2 linked regions of the Stegostoma tigrinum genome follow. Each later gene encodes a partner of the first gene's protein in a complex. Links are inferred from orthologs where the notes say so. Each region holds a gene or a part of one and is shown on either strand. Other genes may lie near its edges. The genes, in order: oprk1 and pdyn.

Region 1 (16,029 bases):
AATCTTTATATACCTGCCACTTTCTAAGTTGCACCAGGTAACTTTTGCAACATCTCTAATCTGGCTGCCCATGATTGGATAAGGGAGGACCCTGAGGCTCTGCACGCAAAGATTGTTAAAGGCATTTTATTCTCTTCTGTCAGGGAAATAGAGCAAGAACCTGACCCTCATAATGACTACAGGCTTCCATGTACATTGTTGTCATTGTTGGCAAACAACGTGTTGTGGCTACCGTACATCAATTCAGAGAAGGACTGCAACAGGCACGAATTTGGCTCCCATTATAACTAGCTGGTGTGACACCCAACACAGTCAATGTATCTTGGCGGCAGCTAACATGTTTGAATTATGCAGCACTGCTTTTTACCATTTTCATTTGAGCTACCACAACAAAGCAGAGGGCAGCTAGTTGTGGGCAAGGGCTATCTGGTGATCACATGACTCATGACTCCGGTATATGATCTGATAATAATACCAGTGAGCGTATTTTTGCGTACAAATTTTGAGCAGAAATAGGCCATTCAACTTTTTAATATGCTCTGTCATTCAACAATATCTGATCATTTCATGTTCACTTGATTATTGAGAATCAATCTTCTGAGCTTTAAAAATATTCAATGACCCTGTTTATACTTCCTTTCAAGGAAAATAATTCTAAAGAGTCTCAATCTTCTGTGAGAAAATGCAGCACATTGTGCAGCAAATGTGGTCTCACCAATGCTCTGTATGACTAAAGTATAACCTCCCCACTTTTGGATTCAATGCCCTTTGCAATAAACAAAGAACAAAGAACAATATAGCACAGGAACAGGGCCTTCGGCCCTCCAAGCCTACATAGATACATTTAGCCCTTCCACACCAAAACTGTCTTCACTTACAGGATCGATATCCCTCTATCCATGCCAATCACAATCTTATAAGCTTCTATCAGGTCATCCCTCAACCTCTTGCGTTCCAGTGAAAACAAACTCAGTCTATCCAGGTTGCACTGTTTACATACTGCGTCAAGAAACCTTCATGAATGGTCCTGACAAATTCTGGCCCATCCAAGCCCCTAACAAGAAGCGAGTCCCAGTCATAATAGAGGAAGTTAAAATTACCCACCACAACAACCCTGCTGTTTTTAAACCTTTCCATATTCTCTTCTCCATCTCCCACCGTCTGTTGGGACGCCTGTGGTATACCCCAGCATTATACTTTCAACCTTTCTGTTTCTGAGCTGAACCCATATTGCCTCGTTGTAGAAGTCCTCTGTTTTATTCGTCCTCATTGGACCTGTAAGATACTCCATTACTACTCGCCCACCCCTTTTACATTCCCTTCTGTCACACCTGAAACATTTAAATTCTGGGACATTTAGCTGCTAGTCCTCATCCTCAGACATTCAGCTTCCAATCTATTGGCTTTCCTAGTTACTTGCTGATCCTGCATATTAACCTTCTGTAATCCATGCACCAAGACATTCAGCTCCATCTGTATTTCAGAGCTCTGTGATCTTTCACTGTTCAGATAGGATGCTTCTTTTTATTTTATATCCTTTCTGCCAAAATGAAGAAGTTCACATTTCCCACATTATACTCATTTGCCCAATTACTTAAAGGATTCTATATTTCTTTGAAACCTCCTTGAGCCCTCTTCACCACTTACTTTCCTAATTATCCTTGTGTCATCAACAAATTTAGCAATGATACCTTCAGTCCCTTCATCAAAGTATTTCACATAAATTGCAAAAGTTCAACCCAACTCTGATCCTTGTGGTACAACACTCATTTCTTCTTGCCAACCAAAGAGCAAACATCCATTTATGCCTGATCTTTGTTTCGTCTTGGCTAATATGTCTTCTTTCTGTGCCAATGTTAGCCTTGATATGAAGAGCTCTTATTTTCTGCAATAACCTTTGATGTGGCATCTTATCAAATGTTCTCTGGAAAACTGAGTGCAGTACTTTTACCAGCTCCGCCTTATCCATTGCATATGTTTTACATTAAAGAAACCCAATAAGTTGGTCAAACATAATTTCTATTTCTCAAAACCATTACTGGTTCAACCTGATTACTATAAACCTTTCAAATTACCCTGTTGTAACATCTTTAATAATAGTTTCTATTATTTTTATCATAACCAAACAAACTAATCTGAATAGAAACTGAAAGAACTGTGGATGTTGTAAATCAGGGACAAAAACAGAAGTTACTGGAGAAGCTCAGCAGGACTGGCAGCATCTGTGAAGTAAAAATTAGAGTTAACTTTTCGGGTCTTGTGAGGTCTGAGGAAGGGGCACTGGACCCGAAATGTTAACTCAGATTTTTTCTTCACAGATGCTGCCTGACCTGCTGAAATTTTCCAGCAACTTCTGCTTTTGTTCCTTAAACTAATCTGCCTGTGGTTTCCTTCTCCTTACCTGTTTCTACATTGAATAAAGTAGTTACATTAATTAATTTCCAACTTAATCAACCCTCCCCAAATGTATGAGACTTCGGAAATTTAAAACCCATGCAAGTTCATTCATCAATAGTCTCACAACTTAACATTCACATCGCCATATTGCATGCAAAGGTTGATTAATCAAGCCCTCCTGTGCACATCTTCCTGCTTTATTTCTTCTGTGCAGTTTGTTTTAGCTACTGCAATCTGAATAATAAAATAGTTTAATTAATGGAGACTGCAGGTAGTACTGCAGGAGAGCTCCAAGCAGTTCAGATCTACAGGCCCAGTTCAAAATGCACCAGGTTGGTACTATGTAGCATAGAGATCCATGGCAGTGTGGAGGTGGTGTAGTGCAAGAAGGGTATGACAACAGCAATGTGGTATAGCAGCACCACAGATGATAATATAATTGCAACAGACCATTTCTCTCCCTCTCCATCCCCTCCTTAAAGGTCTCCAGTACAGTGTCTGAGAATCATGGAATGTTCTCCATTGTTGCACTGAAATTCACTTTACTGAATTCAGAGAGTTCAAACTCACTTCCAGAAAAGGTTTCAGCAGCTGCTCCAGTTTAAAAGCACTTCCACATTGAGAGTTGCCAGCTGGTTTTAGGTAACGTAAGCTTTTTCTGAGTGGTGGCGCGCGTGCGCACGCACACACTTGGGTATCGTGCAGTTCCCCAGTACATGTGATAACTGTGATAGGTTAATCACACAGCATGTCTCGCGTTCTTTTCGGGGTTTGTTGAGGTTTGCCCACTATGTGTTTGCATGTAATTATGACAATGTAAAACCAAAATCGTTTTTTAAAGAATAAAACACAAATTCAAAGTTTAAATTTCTAAGCTATAACAGCATGCTCCATTCAGTTGACATAATACTCAATGTTATAACCATCCTTGCAATATACCATCTGGGTCAATTGAGTATCAAAAGCAAAATACGGTTTATGCAGTGGGCATTTAGGTGTGTAGATCATATGCTTTCTTCTTGTATGCAACAGTGTTTATGTTACTCTACCAAACATTTCCAGAGACATGAACTGATGATTTTGTTATCTGGTAAGTTTAACTGCCATTAAGCCACCTGGGAAGTTTAAATTCAATTTGGTAACTAAGTCGGGAATAAAAATCTTTCCTCACTTCTAGATTGTTGTAAAATCTCATCCAGTTCATCATGGTCCTGCAGGGAAGAAAATCTCCTGTTGTGATCTGTTCTGGACTATACGTAACTCTGGGTCTGCATCAATATGATTGACTCTTAACTGTCCTCTGAAATTATCTAGTAAGTTACTCAACAAATTCAAGAAGGAGCCTCACCATCAACAACTTCTGAAAGCAGAGATAGTAAGAACTGCAGATGCTGGACAATTTGAGATAACAAGATGTAGAGCTGGATGAGCACAGCAGGCCAAGCAGCATCAGAGGAGCAGGAAGGCTGATGTTTCCTTCTTCGGAAATGGGGGAGGGGAAGGGGGTTCTGCAATAAACAGGGAGAGGGAGGAGGCGGATACAAGATGGATAAAGGAGAAGATAGGTGGAGAGGAGTCAGACAGGTCAAAGAGGCGGGGATGGAGCCTGTAAAGGTGAGTGGAGGTGGGGAGTTAGGGAGGAGATAGCTCAGTACAGGGAGGACGGACAGGTCAAGGGGACGGGATGAGGTTAGTAGATAGGAGATGGGGGTGGGGCTTGAGGTGGGAGGAGGTGGTAAGTAGGAGGAAGATCAAGTTAGGGAGGGGGGGACAAGTTGGGCTGGTTTTGGGGTGCAGTCGGGGGAGGGGAGTTTTGAAGCTTGTGAAGTACACATTGATACCATTGGGCTGCAGGGTTCCCAAGCAGAATATGAGATGCTGTTCCTGCAAACTTCGGGTGGCATCGTTGTGGCACTGCAGGAGGCCCAGGATGGACATGTCATCTGAGGAATGGGAGGGGGAGTTGAAATGGTTTGCGACTGGGACGAGCAGTTGTTTAGTGCTAATTGAGTGTAAATGTTCTGCAAAGCAGTCCCCAAGTCTCCACTTGGTTTCCCCAATGTAGAGGAGCCCACAACGGGAACAGCGGATACAGTACACCATATTAGTAGATGTGCAGGTGAACACCTGCGCATTTCCCTCCACACCCTTATCTGCTTTCCTGAAGGACCACTCTCTCTGGGGCTCCCTTGTCCGCTCCACACTTCCCTCCAGCCCCACAACACCCAGCACATTTCCCTGCAACTGCAGGAAGTGTTACACCTGCCTCTGCACCTCCCTCCTCACCCCCATCCCAGGCCCCAAGAAGACTTTCGCATCAAGCAGCACTTCCTCCCACCTATTCCCTCTTCCCACCTCAAGCCCCACCCCCATCTCCTATCTACTAAACTCTTCCCGCCCCTTTGACCTGTCCGTCCTCCCTGTACTGAGCTATCTCCTCCCTAACTCCCCACCTACACTCACCTTTACTGGCTCCATCCCTGCCTCTTTGACCTGTCTGCACTCCTCTCCACCTATCTTCTCCTCTATCCATCTTCTATCCACCTGCCCATCTCTCCCTATTTATTTCAGAACTCCCTTCCCCTCCCCCATTTCTGAAGAAGGGTCTTGGCCCAAAACGTCAGCCTTCCTGCTCCTCTGATGCTGCTTGGCCTGCTGTGTTCATGCAGCTGTACACCTTGTTATCTGAACTTCTGAAAGCAATCAGATTTGGAAAATAATGCTGATCTTGCTAAAAATGCCCACATCCCCTAACATGAATAAAAGAACAGTATCAGCCTTAAAGACATATAGCATATAGTATAGTATGCTGTGGGTGAATCATTTAATTTAATAAACCGTGTAAAATCCAATTTGGATTGATATCCTGGCAGATATTCTTAGGCGGGTAATTTTTGAGCTGACATCGAAATTGTGGACAGCCTGTCTGCACGTGGAAATATAGACAAAAATATTTTGGGGTTCAGACATTATTTGAATGTAATGATACGGCTGCAGGTGCTAAACGCAACTACACTATAGTTTGATAGTTGTGGAAGATTAAGACATAAACAACTTTTTGAACTGAGCCTGGTGGCTCAAGCAGGGGCACTCCTATCTCAGGATTCTTGTGACACAAGGAGAGACAGTGAGCATTCATCAGCAGAGAACTATAGTATTTTATGCAGAGCCCCAGTAATTCTGTCTGTGCAAATGGGAAGAACACAAACAATTTGTTGTTTATTAATTCACAGGATGTGTGCTTTACCAAAATTTAGTGTGCATCCTTAGTTATCTTTGAAAAGCTGGTTGTGAGCCAGAAACTCACAAAATAGAAAGTTAAATTTCATATTTAAGTATATTCTCACCTCAAACAGCAAGGTGTAACATTGCAACAAAAACAGAAATTGGGGAGAAAATCAGCAGGTCTGATAGTTTCTGTGAAGAGAAAGCAGAGTTAATATTTAAGTGACCCATTTTCAGAACTGATTGTATCTAGGAAAAGATGATATATATGCTGAAAACAGGGGATGAGAGGGGGTTAGAGATGGCGCAGTGGTGTGAAGAAAGAAGAAAGGAATGAGGGGATAGGCAGAGATGGAGATGGAGCTGAGAAGGAATTACATTTAGGTAGATATAGGGATTGATATTGCGCCAGGGCAAAGAAAAACTGATAATGGGCATCGTAAGTAGATGAAAATATGCTGACTGTGCTGAAAGCAGCTCATGTCATGATTGGGCTTAGATCTATAGATGAGTAAAGGCGTTCAAGTTTTAAAATTATTGAACTCAATAATAAGTCCTGAAGACTGTAGGTTCCTCAAGTGGAAAATGAGATGCTGTTTTTCCAGTCTGTGCTAAGAATCACTGGAGCTTTGCAGTAGGCTCAAGATAGAATTGTTGGCTAGGGAGCATGATGTTGTGATGAAGTAGCAGGCAACTGAAAGTTCGGGGTCATTTCTAAGACAGAATGCAGGTATTCTACAAAGCAGTTACCCAGTTTGTGTGTTGTGTATACACACACACACATATATATTATATATGCCATCTTTTGCCAGCTACTATCACCTCTGAAGATTGGTTACTGGACTCAAAATATTAACTCCACTTCCTCTCCACATCTGCTGTCAGACCTGTTGAGTTTCTCCAGCAACTTCTGTTTTTGTTCATGATTTCCAGCATCCACAGTCCTTTGTTATTTTTATGTGCAGTATTACCTTTTATGGTTATATTTAAAAATTGCAGTAGGGAGCCCTTGGACAGATGTCTCTAGGGTGACGGCAGTATTAATCCTCTCAATTTTTGACTGCTGAAATCTTGTTTTCCAGCTAAGTATAGCATGGGTAGCAGTTGACAATGCCCACCCTACACCCATCACCAAATTATTATTTTGCACCAAAGTTCATAGATGGTTAATTTCAACAGTATTTCAGTGTTAGCTAAATTGTTAAGAAAACGGGTTACTGCACACACCAGGAACTGACGACTATGCCTTCCACTTAATGGAGAAGTCGGTATTTATTGTGAGGAAACAAATTTACATGCACCATTGACAATTTTTTTTGAAAACTGCATCAGCATGTTTGTGCTTCTATGTGTTCAGAACATTAAAACAGATTTGGCTCACGTACCAACTTGAAACACAAATTATTACATCTGAAATTCAAACAAAAAATACAGAAACATTTAACGAATTAGGCAGCACTGGCGTCAAAACGGAGGTCAGATTAACATTTTGGACCGATGACCTTTCTTCAGAAACCATATGTCGTGCTCAGTGTTTCCAGTATTTTCCTGCAGTGCGCTGTATTTTATGTTTGTTAATATACTTGACATTTCTCTGTGTAAAAAAATTACCATATTCCAACATTAGCCCCCAACTAAGGTATTTTCCCAGTTCCGTCGAAAACGTATTTATTGTTCTTGAGAGAATGCTTTAGATTAATCTGTCAATCCAAAGTCAGTGCCTATTGCTCCCATTTGGGGGCGTTATAATTATAAATCAAACCGTTGTCTAAAAGAGTTCAGGATTTCATTACCACTGCTAATGCACTTGTGTTTGTCTAATTGTGTTAGAAACATGTTATTTTAAATTAGCCATTAACTAGAGAGTAATAGAGGGGACCTGGCTGAATAAATCCCAATAATCTTTGTCTGATAAGTAACAAGTAATAAAAGAACTGTACAAATTACGTTGACCCTGAATATTCCGGCTGTTCGGTGCTGTAACAACTATTAATCTACAAACTGTTATTAACCATTCACACCACTTCACAAAAAGGTCCAATTGTCCGTATTTTGCATTAAGAATTTTCCATCAAATTATTTTATTTCAACACTGGTCGCAGTCGCCAGATTTTTTTTTCTCGCACTCATGCTTTCTTCATTCTATTGGTCTTATCCCGAAAGTTTGACTTCACGATCGTTCTCGGGAATGGTGAACATGCCAGATTGAAGGGACAAATGAAATGAATTTTCTTACCTTACGATCCCATACATAACTAGGCAGTTGCCCACCGTACCCACCACAAAAATGAGCGAGTAGACAGCGGTAATACTGATGGGGATAAGGGTGTTCACTGTGTTCGTGTGAAAGTCAAAAAAATCCGTGCTGTTTTCCAAATAATATGAAGTGGTTGGGAAAGTGCTGTTTGGGATAATGCCAGGGGTACATTCATCAGAGAAGTGCAACATACATTTGGAACCCATGCCTTCTCTAGTAATTACCACTGAAGTGCCCATAGTCTCATCTATAAAAAGAATAAAACAGAAAATTTTTAACATAAAAATACAACATAATCTATATATGTATAATAAAGACTAAAACAAGTGCTTGAAGAAAATCTTAAAATATTGAACAAGTAGGACCAGGTACAGAGGCATTATTAGGGACATGAAGCAATTCTTACCCAGGTTTATCGAACAGATGAGATTGAAAACTTCTGTGTAACAGTCGATAAGTGCAGAGCAAAGATCACCGACGTGAACTTTTCCTTGTATGCAAGGTGAGGTGTGAACAGCCGGAACCCCTTGCAGCTGGATCTGCCAGCGTACAAACGTTGGAGTCGCTGCTGCAGCGCTACACTTCTAACGTAGCATCCACTTGATGACGCTCAGACCAAACGCAGCTCGATGGAGGCGGGAGCATTCAGTACGTATAAAAACCAACACCTCTTTTCAGAGTTCACCGTGGCAATGTTACATTATACGATGGAAGCTATGCTAACAGGACTAGAAGCATTTACAGCCGTTTTACTCAAATCTCGCTGTCCAACCTAATCATATTTTCCAGTTTTTCAACATCTTGGTAGATTTCAATGCATATCAAATAATTTTAAAATGTGATTCGTGCTTCCATCTGTCCAGCGATTGAGTTTGAGACCCTCACTGTCGTCTGAACCGAAAATACCTCTTCAACCTTCATTTAAACCTTCTACCAAATGCTCTGGGAGGATCACCTGACCCGAAACGTTAACTGTTTTCTCATTCACAGATGCCGTCAGACCTGTTGAGCTTTTCCAGCAACTTTTTTTTGTTCCTGATTTACAGGATCCGCAGTTATTTTGGCTATAAATAATGTCCCTGATTATCGAACCCTCTGAAGAGCGGTAAAAGCTTTTTCTATCCTGTCTCCATACTCACCATTTTATTAATCAATTAAATCACCTTTCAACTGTCTCTGTTCCAGCAAAGACAAGCCCAGTCTATTCCATCTTTCCTCAAAGTTAAATAATGTAAGTCTTAGCGATATTCTTTTGCACGTTATCTTATGTTATTATTTATTTTCAATAAGGTGGTGTCCAGAACTGTGTGTAGGGCTTTGACTGTGGCTGAAATTGAAGCTTTCATATAACCTCTCGATCCCTTCATTCAGCATCTAAAGCAAAGTTGGAAAATGGTTTGTAAGTTTACTTAACTATAACAGTTGTCTGTCCTCTAGTCCTCTAGCTTCAAGCATCAGTAGCCATGTCTAAATTTGTCAATATACTACCAATTATTCTACATCCTCTTACCTTATTTGCCTTTCCCAAGTATAGAAACCCTACAGTGTGGAAGCAGGCCACTTAGCCCACTGGATCCACACCAACCCTCCAAAAAGTATCCAGCCCAGACCAACCCCTCTAGCCTGTAACCCTGCATTTCCCATGGCTAACCCACCTTAGCCTGCACTTTCCTGGACAATATGGGAAATTTAGCATGGTCAATCCATCTAACCTGCACATCTTTGGACAGTCGGAGGAAACTGGAGTACCCAGAGAAAACCCACACAGACATGGGGAAAATGTACAAACTCCACGCAGTCTCCTGAGGGTGGAATTGAAACCCAACCTTTGGTGCTGTGACACAGCAGTGCTAACCACTGAGCCAATATGCCACCTATATTAGATAGAATCTAATATTTTTCCAGACTGAATTTTATTTGTCACTTTTCTGAACAGGCTCTTTAATATCATTCTTTAGCTGAGAGATTTTATTCTCACCAAACATACACTATGCTTCTAATGCACTGCAAACAAAGTGCATATTGCAAAATCCCTCATCAGCAACAATATTTGCTTCCGGTCATCATGTCAATTTCAAATTCAACCTGCTACCTTTTGTTGGATCCCATCCACATTTACTGTACCTATACTAGCCTGACATCTTTTCAAAACTATTATCATGTGACCTACGATAATCTAGCAAGCACTCAGAAAACTATTTAATTTTTACACTTAAAAAATTAATTTCTCCATGAAAATTTTTGCATTTCCTTCAATCAGCACATTTGTTTAGCATTCAGTACTTTGGTATTTTTTCCAAGGAAGTGTAGAATCCTGTCTGTGTGTATACATAACAATGTGTTACTTCATAAAATTTATTGCCAAATATGAAAAATCACCTTTTCCAAGTTTGCAGTTTGAGTGATCAGAAAAAAAACATTGCATGCAAAATGCGGTAATCAATTTTATTTTGCTATTTTAGTTCCCATGCTTAAAGATGTTGCTATATTTTCCCCTCCAATTTTCTTCTCCAAAGAAAACCGTTCGTTGAATATATCCAATGCACCATATGAGTTGCACTATAGGAGTGGACTCGATGGGCTGAATGGCCTTACTTGCACTCCTATGTCTTATGTGTGCATGACGTTACATTAATTAAATGAAGAACATCTCTCAAGAGGCCATTTAGAGTACTGCATGAAAGGTCACTGATGCTGACTGCAAATGCACCTTACATTTTAGTAATCACCAGATTACCTAGTAGATAATTATTGAATGTGAATTAAAAAGCAACAACAACTTTTATTCATCTAGTGCCTTCAATGTAACAAAATGTTCTAAGACACTCTCCAGGAGCATGATAAAATTAAGTTTAGCATTGAATCACATTAAATGACATTGGAACACATGGCAAAACCTAAATCAAATTTGAAGGCTTTAAGCTATATCTTAAATGAGGAGAAAGAAAAAAATATGCATTGAAGCCTAAGAGATGAATTGCAGGGTTGCAGACTTTATAAAATGAAGGCAGACCTGCCAATTATGAAGTGATTAACGTTGAGAATGCTAACTTGAGGTCACAGTTGGGGAAACACATGTGTCAGAAGTATTGGAGTTGGACAAGTTGGCATTGTAAGAGCCAGGGAAGAATGGGAAACAAAATAAAAATTTTAAAATCAAGGTGTTGCTTAACTGAGAGATAATACACATTACCAAAGGACAATTGAGGAAAGGGATTCAATGTGAGTAAAGACATGGGCAGCACAGTTTTACAGTAACTCGAGTACTCGAGTTTAAGAAGGGTAGAGCTGGCCATAAGCGCATTGCAATAGTCAAGTTCAGAGAATTCTAGCAGTAGTTAAATGAAGACAAGGCTGTATCAGATGATATTTGGGAAGGGGGAAAGGATATACCCGTGATGGAAATGGAGTCAGATCATCTCAGTACCAAATACACTCTCAATTTTGCAAACAGCCTGGTTCTGCCTTAAATAGTTGACCAGAAGAAAAATAGAGTTGATGACTGTTGAACGTATTTTGCAGAAGAGTCTGAAGAAAATGGTTTTGATCTTCTCAATAGTTAGGTCAAGGAAAGTTTTGCCGATCCAGCAACTAGAGGTCAGACAAGCAGTGTGATAATTTTGAAAGAGTTATTGGTGTTCCACAACTGGAAACTGTCAGAATCCATGTTAAAATTGAAATCCTAGTTTGGTTGTTGAGGTGAAATATGTAGATGATGAAAGACTGTGGATAGATTTTTTGGGACACTTGAAGTTAAATTCAGGAGGAGTAAGCAAGCCATGCAGGATACAGTGAGATATATAATGCAGTCAGATAAGAGTTGGCTCACCATTTTGAATAATAGTGGTGAAATGTAGAAGGATTGTGAGGTCAACCTTCTAAAAACTCATAGCCAGGTCAAGGAGGGTGAGCAAGGATAGCGTGCTATTGGCACAGTCATGTAGGGTGATACCCATGACTATGGAAAGCATCACTTTTATACTGTGGTGGGGCAGAAATCTGATCGAAGTGATTCAAACGCAGTTCTAGGAAAATTGAACACAGATACGAGAAGCAATAACATATTCAATAATTTTAGAGGGAAAAACAAGGTTGGAATGATGTGGCAGAGGAATTAAGTATTGCATTTTTGGGAAAATGGGGAGAGTAGCAAATTCTAAGGAGGACATAACAGGACATAATGAGAATGAACCATTAATAAATATCAGCTAACTTTTCTAGAGGAGGATGTTAAATGATCAATACTTTATTAAGAATAGCACCAAATAAGTGAAAGTGATCTCTGAAGCAAGATGATCTCAGGCAAGGACATGAGGGAAAAAGCTGAGCAAATTCATGCCTAGCGTGTTAAGCGTACCTTAGAGAAAATTCTATGCATTTGTCCTTATGGCATCATAAATGACTTGACCATTTTTTCATGAGCTGGGGCTGCAACTTAAACATTAAACTTTGAGGAACCTAAGACAATTTAAAAGAACTTTGATTCAAATAGAAATGTACATTGTCTAATTCTGGTGATATTTCTGTGGATTTATTCATAATAGCTTTGGACCAGCAAGAACAGGCATAATGCTCCCACTAGATTTTACTAGGCGACTGGCAAGGTGATGAAAAGATGCCATATCTCTCACTACACCTGTGTGTAAAGTACTACTGTGAGGATTTAAATATATGGCTGAATATAATGTTCTGATCCCTGTGGAGAAGTATAAGCTATAAGAACTAAACTTACCAAACAAGCCAATGGAGGAAACCAATGTACATAATGTAACTTTTTATAACTCTTACTTCAACAATCAAACCAAACTCAAGATAAGTTAAACATGAGTTAACAGTCAAATCAAATTTAATAGCAGCTATAAATTAGATTTTAAATAAGCCAATACAAAGACAAAGAGCAATAAATTATTCAACAATGGCCAAGTTCCATGAATAAACCTTTTAAAAAATGTAAGCTGTGAAATTTTAGCTGATAAACCTTTATTAATGGTGCAATCCAGATTTGTGGACAACTTTAAAAACCTTTTTTTCCCTGCCAAGTACATCCATATTTCAAGAAGGCACAAATTCAAGATGTGACAAACAACTGAAAGTCTGACGCTGTAAACTTCCTAAAATGCAATATTGGCCTCACATAGTAATCTAGCTGACTGGTATTCAATTGGCTGATACTACCCAAGGTGGGCAGCATGTTGCGCCTCTGTCTGGTATTGTATGTGCGCCTTCAAATTACAATCTCCATAACTGGAATGGCTCATCACTCACAGACCAATGCCATCAAAATAATGAAACTTCAGGATATTTAAATCAGTCGACCTCTTTTGCAATGACCCTGGTACATTTCTCCTTATGTAATATGCAGCTATCAATTATGACTCTGAAGGTGCAACTTTTGATTTTCTCCTTAGCAAAGCACTCATCTGCTTGCAGTTTCACAGATACAATTCCATCTATTACAGTTTATAATTCCAGACAATTTCAAAGTTAGAACTTTGGTTTAGAAGTCATACATAATACTACATTTTTATCCTAATAACAGAATTAAAAATATTCTGCTTACAGTGAGAGCAATAGTTGGAAATGTTCACCCAAAAATTGGCCCTCATATAACATTATACTTAAATGTTGATTTTTATTAATTATCAGATGTCCTGACATCATAATAATATGAAATAAAGTACTGTGGATGCCGGATGTCTGAAACAAAAACAGAAATTGTTGAACAAACTCAGTACATAGAATCTTTGGTGTGGAGGCAAGCCATTCTGCCCATCAAGTCCACACTGACTCTCTGAAGAGCATCCCACCCAGACCCACCCTTCCCATGGCTAAACTATCCAGCATATCCCTGGTACTATGGGAAATTTAGCATGGTTAATCACCTAACCTGCAAATCTTTGTACTGTGAGAAGAAAGCATAGAACCTAGAGGAAGTCCACAAAGACAAGGGGGTGGGGGTGGAAATATGCAAACTCCACAAAGACAGTTTCCCAAGGGTGGAATCAAACCCAGGTCTCTGGCACCATGAGGCAGCAGCAAAAGCTGTTGATCCACCATGCCATTCCATCGGGACGTATGCCCTGATATGTGCACTTCTGGACTACCCTTGGTGAGGAATGTTGGTTAATAAGAGGCATTCAGTACTGCTAATGGGTAGAAGTTGGTTGAAAGGAATTGTTCAATGATACTACAAATTGTTACATGTTTGCCTTAGATTAAATATTAAAAATAAAAACAGAAATTGCTGGAAAATCTCAGCAGGTTTGGCAGCATCAGTGGAGATAAATCAGAGTTTAATGTTTTGGGTCAAGTGACCCTTCCTCAGAACTTTTCCAGCAATTTCTGTTTTTATTTATAATATTTAATCTAAGGCAAACATGTAGCAATTTGTAGTATCATGGAACAATCCCTTTCGACCAACTTCTGTTCAATAATGGGGAAGAAACAAGAAATTAGAGACAAGGCGAAGCATTTACAAAAGTGACTTACAAAAGTTCAAAATTGTTGTCAAGACAACATTTATTCTAAATAAAACCCAAAAGAACTACATATGCTGTAAATCAGAAACAAAAAACAGAAATTGCTGGAAAAGTTCTGAGGAAGGGTCACTTGACCCAAAACATTAAACTCTGATTCATCTCCACTGATGCTGCCAAACGTGCTGAGCTTTTCCAGCAATTTCTGTTTTTGTTTCTGATTTACAGCATATGTAGTTCTTTTGGCTTTTATTTAGAATAAATGTTGTGTTGACAACAATTTTGAACTTTTGTAAGTGCTTCAACTTGTCTCTAATTTCTTGTTTCTTCCCCATTATTGAACAGATGCCTCTTCATTAGGTGTGCTCTTTTATCGTTGTTATCAAGAAAGTAACAAGCAGAAATTCAGATGATAAAAGGTTTATCGTGTATCACCAGCATTTCTGTCACTTCTTGAACAATAATTTCCTGAAACAGTTTTGGAAAACCACAACAGAGCTCATGTTTTGTGATGAGGAATAAAGAGTTAAGACTTTCGGTGTTTAGTTTTTGTATGAATGGTTTCCTGAAGCTGCACTTCACCTTAAAATAATACAAGAATTACCTCATGTTCATTCCAGACCTAGAAATTACATTAATCACGGTCAATATAATGTCAGTGTGTGGAAAGGTCATCACTGCTTTCAACTTATACGCGACAGGATCATTATGGGCTATGTCCAAAGTCCAGTATTAACTATTTAGCTGCTCACAGAAACATGAACCAAGTGAAAATACATCATTCAGTACATTATCTTCTTCACCATTCACCATTAATGTAACATGGACCTGCATATTTACTGTGTCACAGAAATTACAATGCCATCAACTCAGGGTAATTTCCTAGCCTTAACTATCTTCATCTGTGTCATCAATGACCTTCATGCCAGTCTTAGGTTAGAGGTTGAGATGTTTGCTGATGACTGCATAACATTTAGCATCATTCATGATTCTTCAGATACTGAAGCAATTAATGTTCTTACACTCCCAGACAATATCCAGACTTGATGTGATGAATGGCAGGTAACATTCACCACACACAAGTGTCAGATAATGACTCATCAAAAAGAGAGAGTCTAACCATCACCTCTTGACATTCTATGGCATCGCCGTCACTGAATCCCTTATTATCAGCACTGTACACGTTATTGTTGGCCAGAAACTGAACTGGTCCAACATACACAAACTGTGGTGACAAGAGCAGGTTAGCAGTTAGGCCTATCCACCAACTATATGGCACAAGTTAGGTGTGTGATGAAATACTGTTTACTTACCTGGACGAGTACAACTCTAGCAACATTCACAAAACTTGTCAAAATTAAGGAAAGAAACAGTCTACTTGATTGGCACCCCTTCCATTACTTTTAACATTGCCTCTTTTCACAAGCAGCTCACAGAGGCAGCAGTATGTTTGAAATGCAGTGCAGAAATTCATTATAGCACCCCTAAGAAAACATTGCAAACCCACAACATCTACAGCCTAGATGATCAAGAGAAACAGACGCATGGAAACATCATTGCCTGTAACTTCCTCTCCAACACACACACCATTTGGACTTGGAACTTTATGGCTGCTTCCTCATTGTCACGACATCAAAACTCTGGACACTCCTTCCCTAACAGAAATGTGGGTGC
Region 2 (15,632 bases), on another chromosome or scaffold:
CTTCAGAGGATTCACTCAGGGCTTTTAGATACAACTACGTGCAGAGGAAAAGCTTATGTAGTTATTTTACCATCAAGGATTTCCAGATAGTTAGAGCACCTTGTTGTTAATTGCAATACATGAGTTATACACAGCTTTGAATGGTAGGGCCCTTTCATTCCAATTAAATTTCCTGATGGACTTTGGGTTTGTATGGGCATATACTTACTTGAAGATGTTAATTCTTACCTCTTTTTGGTCAATTACACCTTAATATAATTTGAAGTTAAATAACTATCATCAATGATCACTGAAACCATTTGGAGACTGCTGTGTGAGATGTTTTCTGCCCATGGTATCCTAAACATTATTACTTCCAACAAAACCACACAGTTTGCTCACGAAATGTTCAAAACATTTGCAAAGACCTTCCGCTTTCAAGACTTCACACATTTGCTCACATATTCCTAGTCCAACGAAGTGACGGAAGTATGAATAGTTCAGACAGTAAAGAAAAATCCAGACTTACTTACTGCCCAACTTGTTTAATCCTCCCCCACTCTGCTGGAAATGTTGATGGGATGCTGAAAACAACTCAGCTTCCTACACTGTCCAGCAACTTGCTTCCACAGGGCATTAGTAGAATTATTCACACTGCTTCCCAAAGGAGCTGCTAACTCCAGAGTAGGCAGGCACAGAGCTATAATAAACAAGACTGAACTAAGATGTCTAATTTAGAAAATGGTCAACTGCTCTGGATAAAGGATGTCACAGAAAGGGTACAGTTAGACTGCATGAACCTTTCAAATATGGTATAAAGTTACATCTTCAATAAAAATGGTCGTCTCAGCTCATTATTCTGACCTACTCACTTACTTTCCTCACTGGAACCGTCTGCCTCACTGGAACAAAATCAGGCATCGCTGGTGGGTGGTGCGTCATGAATTATTATTGTCTTTTATTTGATCTCTTGGTTCACACTATCCACTCAGGATGTGTGGTCACATCATGAGGTCAACAAAATCATTGATCTAATGGAAACCAACAAAGATCACCATTTTACTTCAAGTGTTTCTACATCTTCCTATAGCTTTTTCCTTATTCATCTATCACCAAAAACGAATCAAGGCATATTTTTAATCAGTTAGGAAGCAAGAAGTATGGGGGGAAAGACAGGAAGTGGAGATGAGGGTTATCAGATCAGCCATGGCAGAATGATGGAGCAAATTCAATGGGCTGAATCGTCTACTTCTGCTCCTACATTTTGTCTTATAAGTTAAAGACTTGAGGCAAGGGTAAGAGAGATAATGACAAACTGTACAGTAATTGCTGTAACAGGGAGTAACTTAAGTAACACAGTTGAGAATATGTAAACATGTTAATTGATGGTTATAATGTTGGAAAAAAATTTGGGGAATTGTGAGGGCTTTAAGACCCTGGTGCAACCTTCAAATGATGTCATGGCATTGCTTCCAATGAGAAAATGTAGCACAGTGGAGGCAGTGCTAAGTTAGAGTGAAGAAAGAACATGTAGAGTATGATCTCTCAACAATTTAACGATAAGCTCTGAACCTGGTATATCTGAGATTACCATATAAAGTTGAGTAGTGTTATATAGAATTAGATTTATTGTCACGTGTGCACTCACATGAGTGCAGTGAAAGATTTACAAAGTCACCACTTACAGTGCCATTTTATGTACAAGGTACCCAGGTATGGAATATTTGAATTTTAGTGTTAGCAGGCAATAAACTGTTCTACAAAACCTGAGCTTGCAAACAATTTTGACTTATCCTTCTCTTTGGCCAGCTTGTCTTGAGCCAAAACTCTCAGGCGTGGTTCTAAAACCATGTGAGATAAAATGTTTTAACGATTCCAATCCTATTATTAATTTGAGGACTCTTTTCAAAATAATAAATGAATAGTAATGTCTGTCATCTCACTAAATTTAAAAAAAAGTCTGGGACATTTTGACAATTCAAAAAGGACTCTTTAAGTACAAACACAACAAAAGATATTACATCAACATAAAGAATCATTTTTTGAGGCCAAGTGACCAAAGTGAATAGTTTTCCTTTGATGCCTTCACGGAGTACCAATGATTGAAAACATAGCTTAGAGTGTAAGTTTTAAGTTTATCATGTGTGCACTTGAGATGTTCACTACCTTCTTAACCATGTTGTTATTTTCCCTGCTCACACATTACACATCTCCTGCAATGATTATCACACTGGATTGAATACCTGATGACATCACATTACTCCTTCAAAGCCCACAAAATGTTTGTGGACAGTTATCAGCATAGTTATTGTGCTGACCTCAAAATTCAAGCTGCAATTTCCTGTCACCAAATTTCTCATCTAGCAATGGTGATCAAGATCAAGGTATCTGATGAGAAGATCTGTATAATCAAATTTGGAAATCTATGCCAGAACAATTTTGGCAAGAATACAAAGGCAGCTCTGATTAAATTAGAATGAGAAACGTTTTAAAACAAGCTGAATCTTCCAGCAAGAAAACTGCCTGCCAAACAACATTTTTGTTCATAAGGGATTTAACCTAAATGTTAGCTGTGAAAGCTTCTTCATACAAATAAATATTCTCATGGTACAATTTTCATTGAAAGAGATAAGCATAAAAGAAAATTACAATGAGTCCTGTGGAACATATCTGTTATTTGCTATGTCTATGATCATAATGTTATATTTCTTGCAGTTTACAATGCTCATGATGTAATATGTGTTCATGTCACTGAGATCATTTCACTTCTTACTTAACATGTAAAATGTATTGCTAAAAAAGAACTTTACAGCCTTTCTAATGTTAATTGCTGCATGAATTTTGCATGACAATATTTCATCAAATCATTTAGAATGGATATTTCTTTGTGTACCAGCAACTTCAATTTGGTGACCATACAGAAGTGTGTCAATTGTCAACTGGGTCTAAGCATGTCAGTGAAATAAACTAGTTGTGCAACATGACGACATTTTTAACGATGATTTATGTCAATTTTTAAACTAAAAAAAAGAAACTAAACATGCCAGCTTTAGTTTGCATGTTAGCCACAGACATTGCTTACTTTATTGTAATCTAAGCATGAAAAAAAACTATTGAGGTTCCATTACAGGAGGCAAACAAAAACAAAGTCTAGAGAACTTTTTTTTATTGGATTCACAAACTATGCCAACAAAGTACAGATTCAACTGCTGTTTAGACAGCCTATTGTAAACTTAATAGCAAAAATATCTGTGCATTCAAAACAATACATTTATAGTTTCAATACTGAATCTATCTTGGCAGAATGCTCTCTCACATCTAGTTGCACATCACTTCGGCTCTTTTAGAAGTCTGAATTCTCTTCAGAATAATCATTTGCATCACCATCATCTGACCTGACTGAAACCCGGAAATGGCGCCTCAGGAAGCCACCATATCTTTTTTGATTATCCCACTTATATCTTGGTCTGCCAATTCTTCTCATAAAACCCCCATATCTCTTTTGAAGCTCCATGTTTTGATTTTCTTCATCACCCAGTTCTGCACTTCTCTTGTAACCAAAGCCTTTCATGAATCCTCCATAACGCTTTAGCTCTTGGATGTTGGGGCTGTCACTACTTTTTTCCAGAAGATTCTCCACTGCAGCTTCAAGTTCCTGAGAATTCTTCTCTAATTCAGTTGCATCCCTTTCGTCAAACTTATGCAGAATTCCTCCATACTTCAGATTTTGTCCATTGTAACCATTTTGTTGGGCTAATTGTTTGGCATAAATTCTGCTCTTGTCAATCTTCTTCATGAAGCCCCCATCATGATTTACAAGACTATTATGCGGTTTTCCAAAATGTGCCTCTGCACTCTCATCTTCCTTTTCATCTGTGCCTAGGTCAAGAAGATCTTCATTGACAATGCCAAAATGGTCAGGCTTGTACGAGTGAAACGCTTTATCACATTTTTCCCACTCATTGGTAGAAAGCACTACCCCTTCACACTCTAAAGTGCAGGTCTGGAAGATAGCAATTAGAAGATAGCACTTTTCACAGCTACATTAACTTTCATAAGAATAGTATTTCAATTGGTATTGGCCAAAAAAGACCTTAATTAATAAAAATTAATTTCAAGCAAATAGCAATTTTATTAGTCAAAAATGGCATAATTTGTATCATAAAGATGTTAGCAATAAAAAGAGCTTTTGCATGTTGCTGTATTTTTCATGTAGAAGTAAATGGACAACAAATTCTATTCTATATGATGTGGTCCAGACAGGAGTGCCCTATTTGTGAATAGTTAAACAAGGATACTTATTTGACCTCAACATGTAATGGACAGCTAATGTGTAAAAAGTAAGTAAAGATAAAGAAATCCAGAAATGATAGAGATAACCTTCTGCTCCAGAGATTGCAGTATTTACTGTTATACTTGGTACTGAAATTACTGTAATGGTATAAACCTCGGGTCATTCCCCAAATATCCCGCACTGAAAAACAGTTGAAAAAAGTTAGAATTTGAGCATGCGAGTTAATTAGACTTTAACAGTAAAAGTTGTGAAAATTATTGGGGAACAATATCAGACCCTGAAAAAAAGCCATTTGCGCGTCGCCGAGGGGAACATCGGCTTTTATCTCGACTGGTGGTATTTGATCTCCGGAATGTTTCCAACAGTATCTACTTGTATTTTAGAACTGCAACATTTTAGGGGTAACATCGTTCTGCAGTTATATCAGAAGAGCTGCTTTACAAATGCACGTTCTTTTCAAAGATTAAACAGGAGCAGGATCATTATGTACATTGTTTTTGAAGGACAGTCCTGTGCTTACACTCTCAGCAGGTAGAGGAGTTTAATTCCAAACACCTCAAACCTGGCAATAAATTTACCAAACGGAGGGCAACCAGAGTAGCGGAATGGCAATAGAGAGCAGATAGAAGGATTGAAAAATCGTTAATCTTGAACTTCTCCGTTATAACCAATCTCCATTCAAACAAGCTTTTCAAGGTGTTAGAAAACACCCCCTGCCGAACATTTGCTGTTGCGTATTTCAGCTAGCGTTAGAATATTATCTACCCATATGTCGAAGAAAACGATAGCTTGCAAGAGTTTAATCTTACTGGCTGCATTTATAGTTTTGCACTTATTTTGTTCTCAAACTGCAGCTAATTAAGCAAGTTTAATCATCAACACTATTCCATCTAGACGCGTTCTGGTTGATAAATTCCCAACTGTTCTGCAATTGCTAGTAGCTGTTAAATGCTCCACAGGACACCGCTATTGTTGCTGCCCATATATCACTTACTGTTTCTAGTCGCCTGGTTCGTTATATTGGGCTACATTCTACTGCGTGTTCTTATTGTGACTCGGAAATCGAACATATTTCCACGCAACAGAAACTACTGGAGAAACTCAGCAGATCCAGAAGCTTCTGTAGAGAGAGAAAGCCGGGTTAAGTTTCGGCACCGGTATGACTCCTCCTCAGAACTCAGTCCTTTCGGAGTCGTTAACTCCGTTTCCCTCTCCACATGGATGCTTTCAGACCTGCTGAGTTTCTCCAGCATTCTGTGTTTATTTCAGATTTCCAGCATCCGCAGTAGACATTTCCACATCCTTGTCACGTATTGCAGCATGTAGCTAACAGTAAATATATCTTCCTGGGGAGGTTGGAACGCTAAGTAATCTGCTTTTTTTGAGCGTTGGTATAGGTATATACAGATTTCATAGCCATTCCGAGCGTGTTGATCTGAATGCTCGTAGAAAACTCGCAAGTTTACTGGACCAACAGTCGCACATAAATGAAAACAGATTTCTTTCAATTAACTAATTCTACTGCGAAAGAATACCTGAGGATAAATATACGGCTATTATTTGTGTCCCTTAATCTGGTTGATGGGAATGAGTGGCACCTCTGAATGTATTCACTACAATGAGACACGGCTCTGTCACCAGCTGATTCATGTAGAAAACTATAGCTCGTGCTGAGCCAAAATTGAGCGTTACTCTGATTTCTGAACTGGATGACCGAGTGCGGTTATCTTACCAATGGTTTGATTGAGCTGTCTAGGACTGAATTGCATGTCGAACACCAGTTGGCACAATCCGCGTGGACCGTGTGCAGTGGACTAAAGGACAACACCAGGACAAACACACTCCACTCCATCACCAGCCTCTGAAACATCAAGCGTAATTGTCCCTAGAACATTGCTTCCAACTCAAACATTGGTTAAAAAGGAACATATTGAGGTTTCAGATCGAAGCTTTTAGACAAGGATTTGGGTGAATTCGAAAACAAAAAACATTACATTGAAGACGCCTCTGCTCATTCAGATCCTGAAGCAGCAACTACAGGTTTTCTACTTTCATCTTCAACTTCCATTAATTGACCTTTGTCAGGATGGTTTCCGACAATGGATTCGGAGAAATACCCAAAGATTCGAAAGTTGTGGACTTAGAAGCGTTACGTTGTTATTTAAGTTTTGCAGCAGTTACTACCGCTTGCAGAATGTTGGAGAAATTGGTTCGGCTAAATAAGTTTCTAAATTTGAACATTCTAAATGTTAAATCAGTATTCCATGGCATTCCATCTCAGCCGTTCTGCACCTTCATTAACATACATTTGAACACTACATAAGCAAAGAACGCATGAGCTGTTCAGAGAAGTACAATTGTATGGCTCCATCCTTTATATTAGGCAAGACCTTCCAAAGGAAGACCCTGAATGTTAATATGATTGTACAGCTTAGTCCAAACACTAATAAAAGTTAAGAACTAAAGTAGATTTGAACAAGTGCGCTACCAACATAATTCAGAGATTATGCGGGGATGGGAAAACTGTGATATCTAATTTAAAAAAACAGTTCTCAGTTACAATTCAAAGAAGAAATGGGTGAATCTCTTGCCAAGAAATGTACTGTAGGAACCTCCGCCAATTAGAAATTCCTTGGCGGAGCAACTAGTTCGGATCTTTGTTGTGCAATTGCAAGGAAGTGAAATTTTGAACAAATTATTGTTACCTAAAATAAATTGTGCACGGGCTTCACTATTCCCTCAAATGAATCAGTCGCGAACCGATCTTTGAGAACACGCTTGGATGGTCTTCACAGATCAGCAGCTGTTTAACACATTAGTGTGTAACTGCGCTATTCACTTCAGGTGGAAACTGAGTAAATAGTCAATCGAGAAAGGTTAGCTATCACCAGCGTGAACTCCAGGGTAGTTTCACTGTACAGAGCTGCCCTTTAACCTGCATCCCTCTAGTTAGAGATTCCTATCAATACCCGATACTTGATGAATACTTACTTTCAAATTACCTGGATATTCCTTGAGAACGAACCAGTCGGAATCGCTGCAATTTTACCGGTGAAAAGTGTGGACTCCCTTTGTGAAGCGCGCCTTACAGAAACCGCTCCCGTCCACACAGCTATCCTCCGCCTCGAGAAGTGAAGCTGAGATCCAGGGTTTTCCAACCTGCAGCCTCCAGCATCCGCTATTTATTTACCCACAACGTTATGCTGACATTGGCGACGCTGAATGCACGTCTTTTTTGAGCCAATGACTGCATCGATTGGATTAATTATGGTCCAGCAATTCCCTCAAATGCTACCAACATATTGCATAGCCGTCACACTCCCGCGCAATGTTATAAAGACAAGTACAATTCGGGGTTTAAAAATAACAGGCAGTAAATTAATTACTCTTGTCTGGTGCTACTTTGATTGTTGACGTTTTCTTTTCGTGAAAATGCGCTTTTTATGCTGGAACCGAGCCTTCGCTGTGAACACTCACTGCGCTTCCCCTCTATAATTATACACTGGGCGAAAGTGTCAACCCGATTACCTCTCATTTCTGGGCGGCATCTAAGCAGCTTTAATTTCTTGCAGTATTCTCCAACTGTAAAGTGAAGCAATTTTAATTCGAATTAAAAATGTACAAATTAAGAGATTTCATTCAAACTGTGCCGGCCTGCTGTATTCATCCAGCTCCACACTTTGTACCTAACTTGCCCTCTGCCTCTGGCAAATAGACAATTAAACCGGCGCCACAATAACACTGGATAACAGTCAGCAACAATACCTTCTAATTCATTTAGATGGGCTCCTGCTAAAGTTTCTACATTACATTATGCATGGACAATAAAAATAAACTAATAGTTTACAAACACATTACTGACTGATCACAGGTAATTAAAGAGATTGCATCTTGTGCCTGTTGAAATAAGCGTTTTGAGTTTCTATATATAAGCACATTTTAGTTAGGTTTAATTTTCTCTTTCAGGGTTAAACTGATTTCATCATTTCTCCTTTAATCTCTCTCACACACTCATGGTGTGGTGCAGCCATACGAACTGTTAGATGTGTATCGATTACATTATTCTCGAATCACACAGCCAATGTGGATGTACAGGGAGAAAGTAAATCCGGAATATTGAGACGAATCACGATACATTGCAGACAATAGGACTTGGCAAAGCCAAGTGTGCTGGAAGCCAGTTAAAACATAAGGGCCACAGCAACGCTCCTGGAAGGGGAGAGCTGCCAGAGATAATGGGAACTGCAGATGCTGGAGAATCCAAGATAACAGTGCGTGGCTGGATGAACACAGCAGGCCCAGCAGCATCTTAGGAACACAAAAGCTGGCGCTTCGGGCTGCTGTGTTCATCCAGCTCCACACTTCAGGGGAGAGCTGCCAACCGGTTTACATTTTTCACCATTTTATTAATTGCTGATGCAAATAAAAGTTCAACGTTGCCAGGCCACTTGAATAAATACAATCACGGAACAATAAAATCAGGAAGGGTCACAGGACCCGAAACGTTAACTCTGATTTTTCATCACAGATGCTGCCAGACCTGCTGAGCTTTTCCGGCAACTTCTGTTTTTGTACCAATAAAATCACGTGCTTGAATTAATTTTGGTCACGGTCACGTAATCCATTCTTTGATCACTAAAGAGAATGAGATAAAATTGACATCGCGTGATTATATGTCCGAGGTGGAAGGGGATTGCAAATTAGTGATATTTCTCAAGGCCATTAACGCTGGTAGTGCTTAAGTACGGCAAGACTGTACTTAACTGTCTTCAGTTTATGTACTGGCATGCTCCAGTTGTAATATGTATTAGTTATGTAAGTTACATTATTTCACCATATTTAAAGAAGTTTCAAGTCTTGTGCTTTGATCAAACCAGATGTTAGTGTACACAGAATGACATCATGCGGATTTGAATCTGAGAAGGTATTTAATCTAGTGAGCCACTTGGTAACATCATACCCTTGCTCATTGCCCATATATTTTAATACTCACCTCTTTCAATCGTCACTTGTTTACTTTTGCATCTTTCATGTAAGAGAAAAGGTAATTAAAAAGTAGAGATAGCACTTGGCTGGCTGCTGTTAAGTGCCGCTGAGGAGCGGACTGGAAGCTGGAGCGATGGGGGACAATTGCTGGACTTGGGCCTAGTGCCGCATGCTGAGTTTCTGTTATCAGACTATAATATTTTTTTAAAAAGATCGCTATGTTGTAACTAAGTAATGCTTTTGCTTTCCTTTAATCCTCTGTGTAAGACCACTTTTTTTTTAACTCTATAAGATTTGTAGCTAGGTACTTGTGCTTAAGGTGCCGCCATTAAAAGGCAGCCATTGTGAACATTTTTCACTGTACTCCTAGACTTCTATATTGTAGTAGAAGTGACAATAAAGAATAAAGGATATTCTACACCTAAAAGTGGGTTCCAAGGCATTGAAGCAGCAAATAGGAGGGGTAAACAATACATGGATCAAAAGGTGGCTTTTAGAAGATTTCTCAAATCAATAAGAAGAATTGAAATTCAGTGTTATTAGAGAAGAAGCTTCCAAAAGTAAGACTAAAGTAGCTGAAAATATGGGTTTCAATCTTAATCAACAATAATATGGTACTTGTGATACAAGAACACATCAAAAGATGTGAGAAACCATAAAGGAATTTGGAGACATGGCTGAAGGTTTAAAATTTATTACTTTGGGGAAGATAATGCTTTATTGTAGGCCAGTGCTAGTGTGATGGGATAGCTGGGTCTAACATGCAAAAAAATGTAATCTATTGTATTTTGAATGGATGTGACTATTTACAAGACTACTTAATTTCCTGACTTGGACTTAAATAATGTAACTGACAGAATACTTCAGTATTAAATTATTTTAAAAGCAACAATGTTATGTATTGTTTTTATTAAATATTTTAGTCATACTTTACAAATTGACTCACACGTGGACACTACAAAACTATATAGCATGAGAAATGGAAATGTCACAAAGGTATAATTCAGTTACTTTGATAACATATTATAAAGTAGATGCAGCAGTGATTTATATATAGACACTTTGTGAGAAAGTTCTAGCCTTGACGGTGAATTGCACTACATAATGCAACAACCTCACTTTGAAACGCACAATGGCCAGGGGAAAAGTCTGCAGATCTGACATACTTTATGTTTCAAGTACGTAGGGGAAAAAAAACAAAGTCCAGGGCCACTGACTTCTGAAAATTGCAATCAACTTAGTGAAAATACAAACTTAAGCTGAAAAGTTGAAAGAATTTCTTCCTTTTCTTACAAAGAAATAAGACTATTAGAAAGTGAAATTTCATGAATCAAGATGAAAGATGTAATCAGTTAGCATTAGCACAGAGTCACTGGTTGGTTCCTGAATAAGATATAAGTGAATGATGAACTTGGACTGGACATGGGAATATTGCGAGAGTGGGCGAGGAGTTATTGTGGAGAAACTACCCAAGACAATAAAGCCTCTTTATTATCAGCTTTGTGGCTGTCAATAATACGCATGCAGTATTAATTTGTTAGTGGTCATGTTGACAGAAGAATGTTGATCAGTCCAGCCCATCCTTTTAAATAAGTTAAGATTATTTTTGTTGCATCTTCACATGTTTTTAATACACTTAAAAACTGGGTAATGTTAATGGTAGAAAGCCATGCCTTCTTTCATCTTTACTATTATCCTACTTTTTTTCAAAAAGTTGGTTTGCAGTACAGAATGATGCCAAACAGTGGGTTCAATTCCTGCACTGGTTGAGGTTACCATGAAGAACTCTCCTTAACCTTTTCCCTTGTCTGAGGTGTGGTGACCCTGAGGTTAAACCATCACCAGTTATACTTATATCTCTCTCTCTCTAATGAGAGAGCAACCCCATAGTCTGGTTAGATTATGGCAACTGTACCATTTTACCTTTGTTATTAGTTTAAATCTTACTTCTGTACTGAAACATGATTTTGTGCAACGTTTAAAGACATTGACCATCGCTGGCGAGGCTGGTATTTGTTGCACATTTCTAATCCTAATTAGTTGCTTGGTAGTCTTAGTGCTATCGTCAGATGTGTAGGTCATACATCCCAAATACTGGTGGACCATATCAAGCAATGCAATCTTTTGACTATCTGCAGAACCAGTGTATTGACTGTTTTCCACCGGTCAATGTTTATAAAACTGAGAATATAGTTTCCAACATTATATGTGATTCTCCTATTGGACAGCATGTACAAAATAATCCTGACCACACAAAATATGACATTATATTATAAGATTATCAGCTGGGATCATAATGTGATTTGTTTGTACGTACGATAAGATGCATTTATTCTCAAACAGGGCTCTGTTCTTTGTAGGCAAAAAGAATTATATAGCATATTGCACCTTTTTGCTGCATAATGGGAAATGGATTCAACCCTTGCTGTATCTGCATGGCAAAATCCTGACCAATCACAGTTGACTTGCCTGGTTTAAATTTAATCAGTTAACACTGACAGTTAACAGTTGTCCTGCACCCCGTGCTTACTTTCTAAGTGGCTTTCTTATGTTTTAGATCTGATTAATGCAAAATGAAAAGTTTCAATGCCTCTTTTTCGTGATGCTTAAGTTCAGTACTTTACCTGTGTCCTGTTTTGCATTCTGTACATGAGAAAGAATGTGAAGGTGCTGGAGATAGTGTAGTGTAGAAGAGGTTTATGAGAATTATTCCAGAGATAAATAATTTCAATATAAACACAGATTGTAGAAGATGGGACTGTTCCTGTTGGAGAAGAGGAAGTTTAAAGGACAATGGTTGAATTATTCAAAATCACAAGTGATTCAAACAGAAAGAAACAGAGGGAAAATGTTCCCACTCATGAAATGATCCAGAATGGGAGGGCACAAATTTAAAATAATAAATAAAATAAAGAAAACTGATACAAGGGAAAATGTTTTAACGTAACAAGTGGATAGTATCTGGATAGCATTGCCTGATAGTGTGGTGGAGGTAGGCTCCTACCTTGACTCCTCAAGATCTTCTTAATCAATGAGATTGTGAGTATTTCCCTTTGGCAACTTCCTGTACATAGAATTCCCTCTATTACTGTCTGTCTATGAGATGCATAGATACTCGCTAAATGTTGCTAACTGAGTTTTAAGTAGAGGTCAATTGAAACCTGATTGTTGTCCCTGGCACAACAAGGTATAGAGCTGGATGAACACAGCAGGCCAAGCAGCATCAGAGGAGCATGAAAGCTAACATTTCGGGCCTCGACCCTTCTTCAGAAAATGTTGACCCTGGTCTGTCTTTCTGCACGTCATAAAAATTCAACTTTGCAAACACTCCATAAATTAGCTAGCCATATAGCTTAGATCAAGTGTTCTTGGAAAAGCTGTTTGAGCTCACTGTTCCGAATGACTTTCTGACTTTTGTTAAAAGAGCTAAGAAACCTTCATAGAACTGGAAAATAAAATCAATGTTGCCTCCCTTTCAAAGCTAAGTTCCCAAATAATAACAATATTCTACTAATCAAAATATTCTACTAAGCAAAATTGAAGCCTGTGTTTATTCATTCATATACACATTGTGATTCCTGTAGTTCTAAGTGATACAAAGTCAACATCACTGGCACTCTCATGAGTTGGGCCATCAACTTGCTGTGTAGGATTGGTATTGAAACAGGATGGATCCAAACAATCCTCTGGATAATTGATACCCTCATCATGATATCACTCACTACATATTGCAGAAACTCACATAAGTGTCTACAACCATCACTTTTCACTCTAAGTGATGCCCTACTATGTAGATAACCTTACAAGAAGAAGTTATCTCAAAAATTTCAGCAACAAACTAAAGTTACCATGTTATTCTGCTACTTATCACAAAACACAACAGTGGTGTTCTCCACGAACAGATTGCTGCCACCAAGCAAAAAGACATTCAACCAACCACACAGATGAGTAATGTGGTTTATGACTTTCAGTGTTGTTGTGATTCCAGGTACGTAGGTTGTACATCTTGATTACTGGCATACCATATCTAACAACATGCCCTTGTGACTGTCCATGGCAGGAAGTATGCCAATGTGCTCAACCAGCCCATGCTTGAAAATCTCAGAACTCAAACTCAAAACTTCCTTCTCAACAGCACTGTGGGTGGACTTACCCTCTGTGGAGTGATTCAAGAGGGCAACTCGGTATCACCTTCTCATGCACAATGAAGGATGACGAATAAGAAATAAGTCAGCTATGCCAACTTTCCATGATTGAATAAAAAAATGTTCAGCTCACAGTTAACTAGAAACTACATTTGTCCATGCATAGGGCCCTTTTCTTCATGGGCAAAAATAAGTCTGCACATTGCAGCTCTGTCATTGAGGAAAGGGCCATAAAGACAATCAGTTCCCGCTGCCATCCTGTGACAGTGCTCTAATCAATCAGTGTTGACTGGTTTGAATTTAATCAGCTAATTAAGACAGTTAACAGTTTTTGCTGCATCTCCATGCCAACAACAATCCAACCAGTCAGCACCCTTGCTTGGAAGGTGCTGTCAAAGCAGACCTGGTGAGTTGCTGTAGTATATCTTGTCAGTAGTCCAAATTGCTGTAACTGCATCAGTGGTGAAAGGAGTGATTGTTTCAGCTGGTAGACCTCTGCTTTGTCCTGGTGATGTTGAGCTTCTTGAGTGTTGTTGGAGCTGCAGTTATCCAGGCAGGCAAATGGGAAGTAATCCATCACATTCCTGACTTGTTCCTTGTAGACGGTGGACAAGATGTGGATAATGAGAAGGTAAGTTACTCAAGTCACAACTCCTAGCTTCTAACCACAGTATTTGTATTGCTTGTCCAGTTGAGTTTCTGGTCAATGGTGCCCCATTGGTAATGTTCCTGTTAGCGAATTATGCAATAATCATGCCATTGAACAGCAAGTGGAGATTGTTACATTCCCTGTTGTTGGAAATGATGATTGCACAACACATGTCTGATGTGAATTCTTGTTGCTACTTTTCAGCCCAAGCCTGAACGTGGTCCATTTCCTATTGCAGGTGTCCGAGGAATGACAGGACTTGTACTGTTAATGGTAGGGCCCTGGAGAGTGTTGCTAAGCTAAGAGACCTAAGGGTGTATGTACATAGTTCCTTGAAAGTGGAGTCACATATGGTGGGGGTGGTGAAGAAGGCATTTGGAATGCTTAGTCATAAGATTGAGTATAGGAGTTGGGATATCATGTTGTGACTGTATGGGATATTGGTGAGGCCACTTTTGGAATATTGTATACAATTCTGGTCACCCTTCTATAGAAAGGATGTTGTTAAACTTGAGAGAGGACAGAAAAGATTTACAAAGATGTTGCCAGAACTGGACGGTTTGAGTGATAGGAAGAGGTTGAATAGACTGAGGTGTCACATGATAGAGGTTTATAAAATCATGAGAGGCCAAAGAATAGCCAAAATCTTTTTCCTAGGGGGAGAGGTTTAAAAAGAATCTGAGGGACAACATTTTCATTAGAGAGTGGTGCATGCACAGAATGAGCTGCCAGAGGAAGTAGTGATTTTTGTTCTGTATGTCTCAATCACTCCGTGACCCTATCACTGGCAAATGGTGCTGAACATTGTACAATAGCAGCAAAGATTGCACTCTTCTGAACTTATGATGGAAGGCAGGTCAATGATGATTTGGTGAAAGATGCTAGGGCCTAGACAGTACCCTGACAAGCTCCTGCAGTGATGTCCTGGAGCTGAAGTGATTCACCTTCAACAACCAAAAGTATCTTCCTTGTGCTAGGCATGATTCCTATTGACTTCAATTTGCTTTGGGCTTTTTGATGCAAGGCTCAGTCACAAGATGCCTTGGTATCAAATACAATCTTTTACCTTTCCACTTGAATTCAACTTTTTTGGCCACATTTGGCCGAAAGCTGGAATGAGTTCTGGGTTAGTGTTAGCGGCTCTGGTGGAATCTGACTTCAGCTTTTTGAGTAGATAAAGCTGAGTAAGTGCCACTGGCAATGACACCTTTCATCATTACACTTATGATTGAGGGTGCACGGATGGAATGGTAATTGGCTGGATTGAATTTATCCTGCTTTTTATTGACAGGAGATAGCTAAATAAATGTTTAAAGCTTGAGTTGAATGCCAGTGTTGTAACAGTACTGGAACAGCTTGGCCAGGGGATATGGCTATTTCTGCAGCACACGTCTTCAATGCCATTGCTGGGAAGTTGCTAAAGCCCATGGTCTTTGCAGTATCCAATGTCACCATCTGTTTCTTGATTTCATGTGTAGTGAACCCAATTGTCTAAGGACTGACATCGGTGATGCCGGGATTCTCAACAGGAGGCTGAGGTGGATCATCAATTTGGCATTCTGGCTGAAGGTGGTTACAA

Evidence for each region.
Region 2: the proteins of oprk1 (region 1) and pdyn are in contact, whole or in part, in a cryo-EM structure (PDB 8F7W), measured with the Homo sapiens proteins. The link is inferred for Stegostoma tigrinum from reciprocal best matches to the Homo sapiens genes OPRK1 and PDYN. Residues at the interface, in NP_000903.2 of Homo sapiens: Thr111, Gln115, Trp124, Val134, Ile135, Asp138, Tyr139, Met142, Lys200, Glu209, Cys210, Asp216, Tyr219, Lys227, Val230, Phe293, Ile294, Glu297, His304, Ala308, Leu309, Tyr312, Tyr313, Ile316, Tyr320; in NP_001177821.1 of Homo sapiens: Tyr207, Gly208, Gly209, Phe210, Leu211, Arg212, Arg213, Ile214.

Annotation. Positions count from the first base shown.
Region 1 is NC_081358.1:67,907,579-67,923,607, reverse strand, and holds the start of oprk1 (kappa-type opioid receptor), read right to left. Parts: upstream 8,436-16,029; 5' UTR 8,286-8,435; intron 8,127-8,285; 5' UTR 8,119-8,126; coding exon 7,859-8,118; intron 1-7,858. UniProt on the Homo sapiens protein: G-protein coupled opioid receptor that functions as a receptor for endogenous alpha-neoendorphins and dynorphins, but has low affinity for beta-endorphins.
Region 2 is NC_081372.1:35,922,566-35,938,197, forward strand, and holds pdyn (proenkephalin-B), read right to left. Parts: upstream 7,456-15,632; 5' UTR 7,276-7,455; exon of another isoform or gene 7,265-7,275; intron 6,135-7,264; 5' UTR 6,126-6,134; coding exon 6,006-6,125; intron 3,983-6,005; coding exon 3,323-3,982; 3' UTR 3,129-3,322; downstream 1-3,128.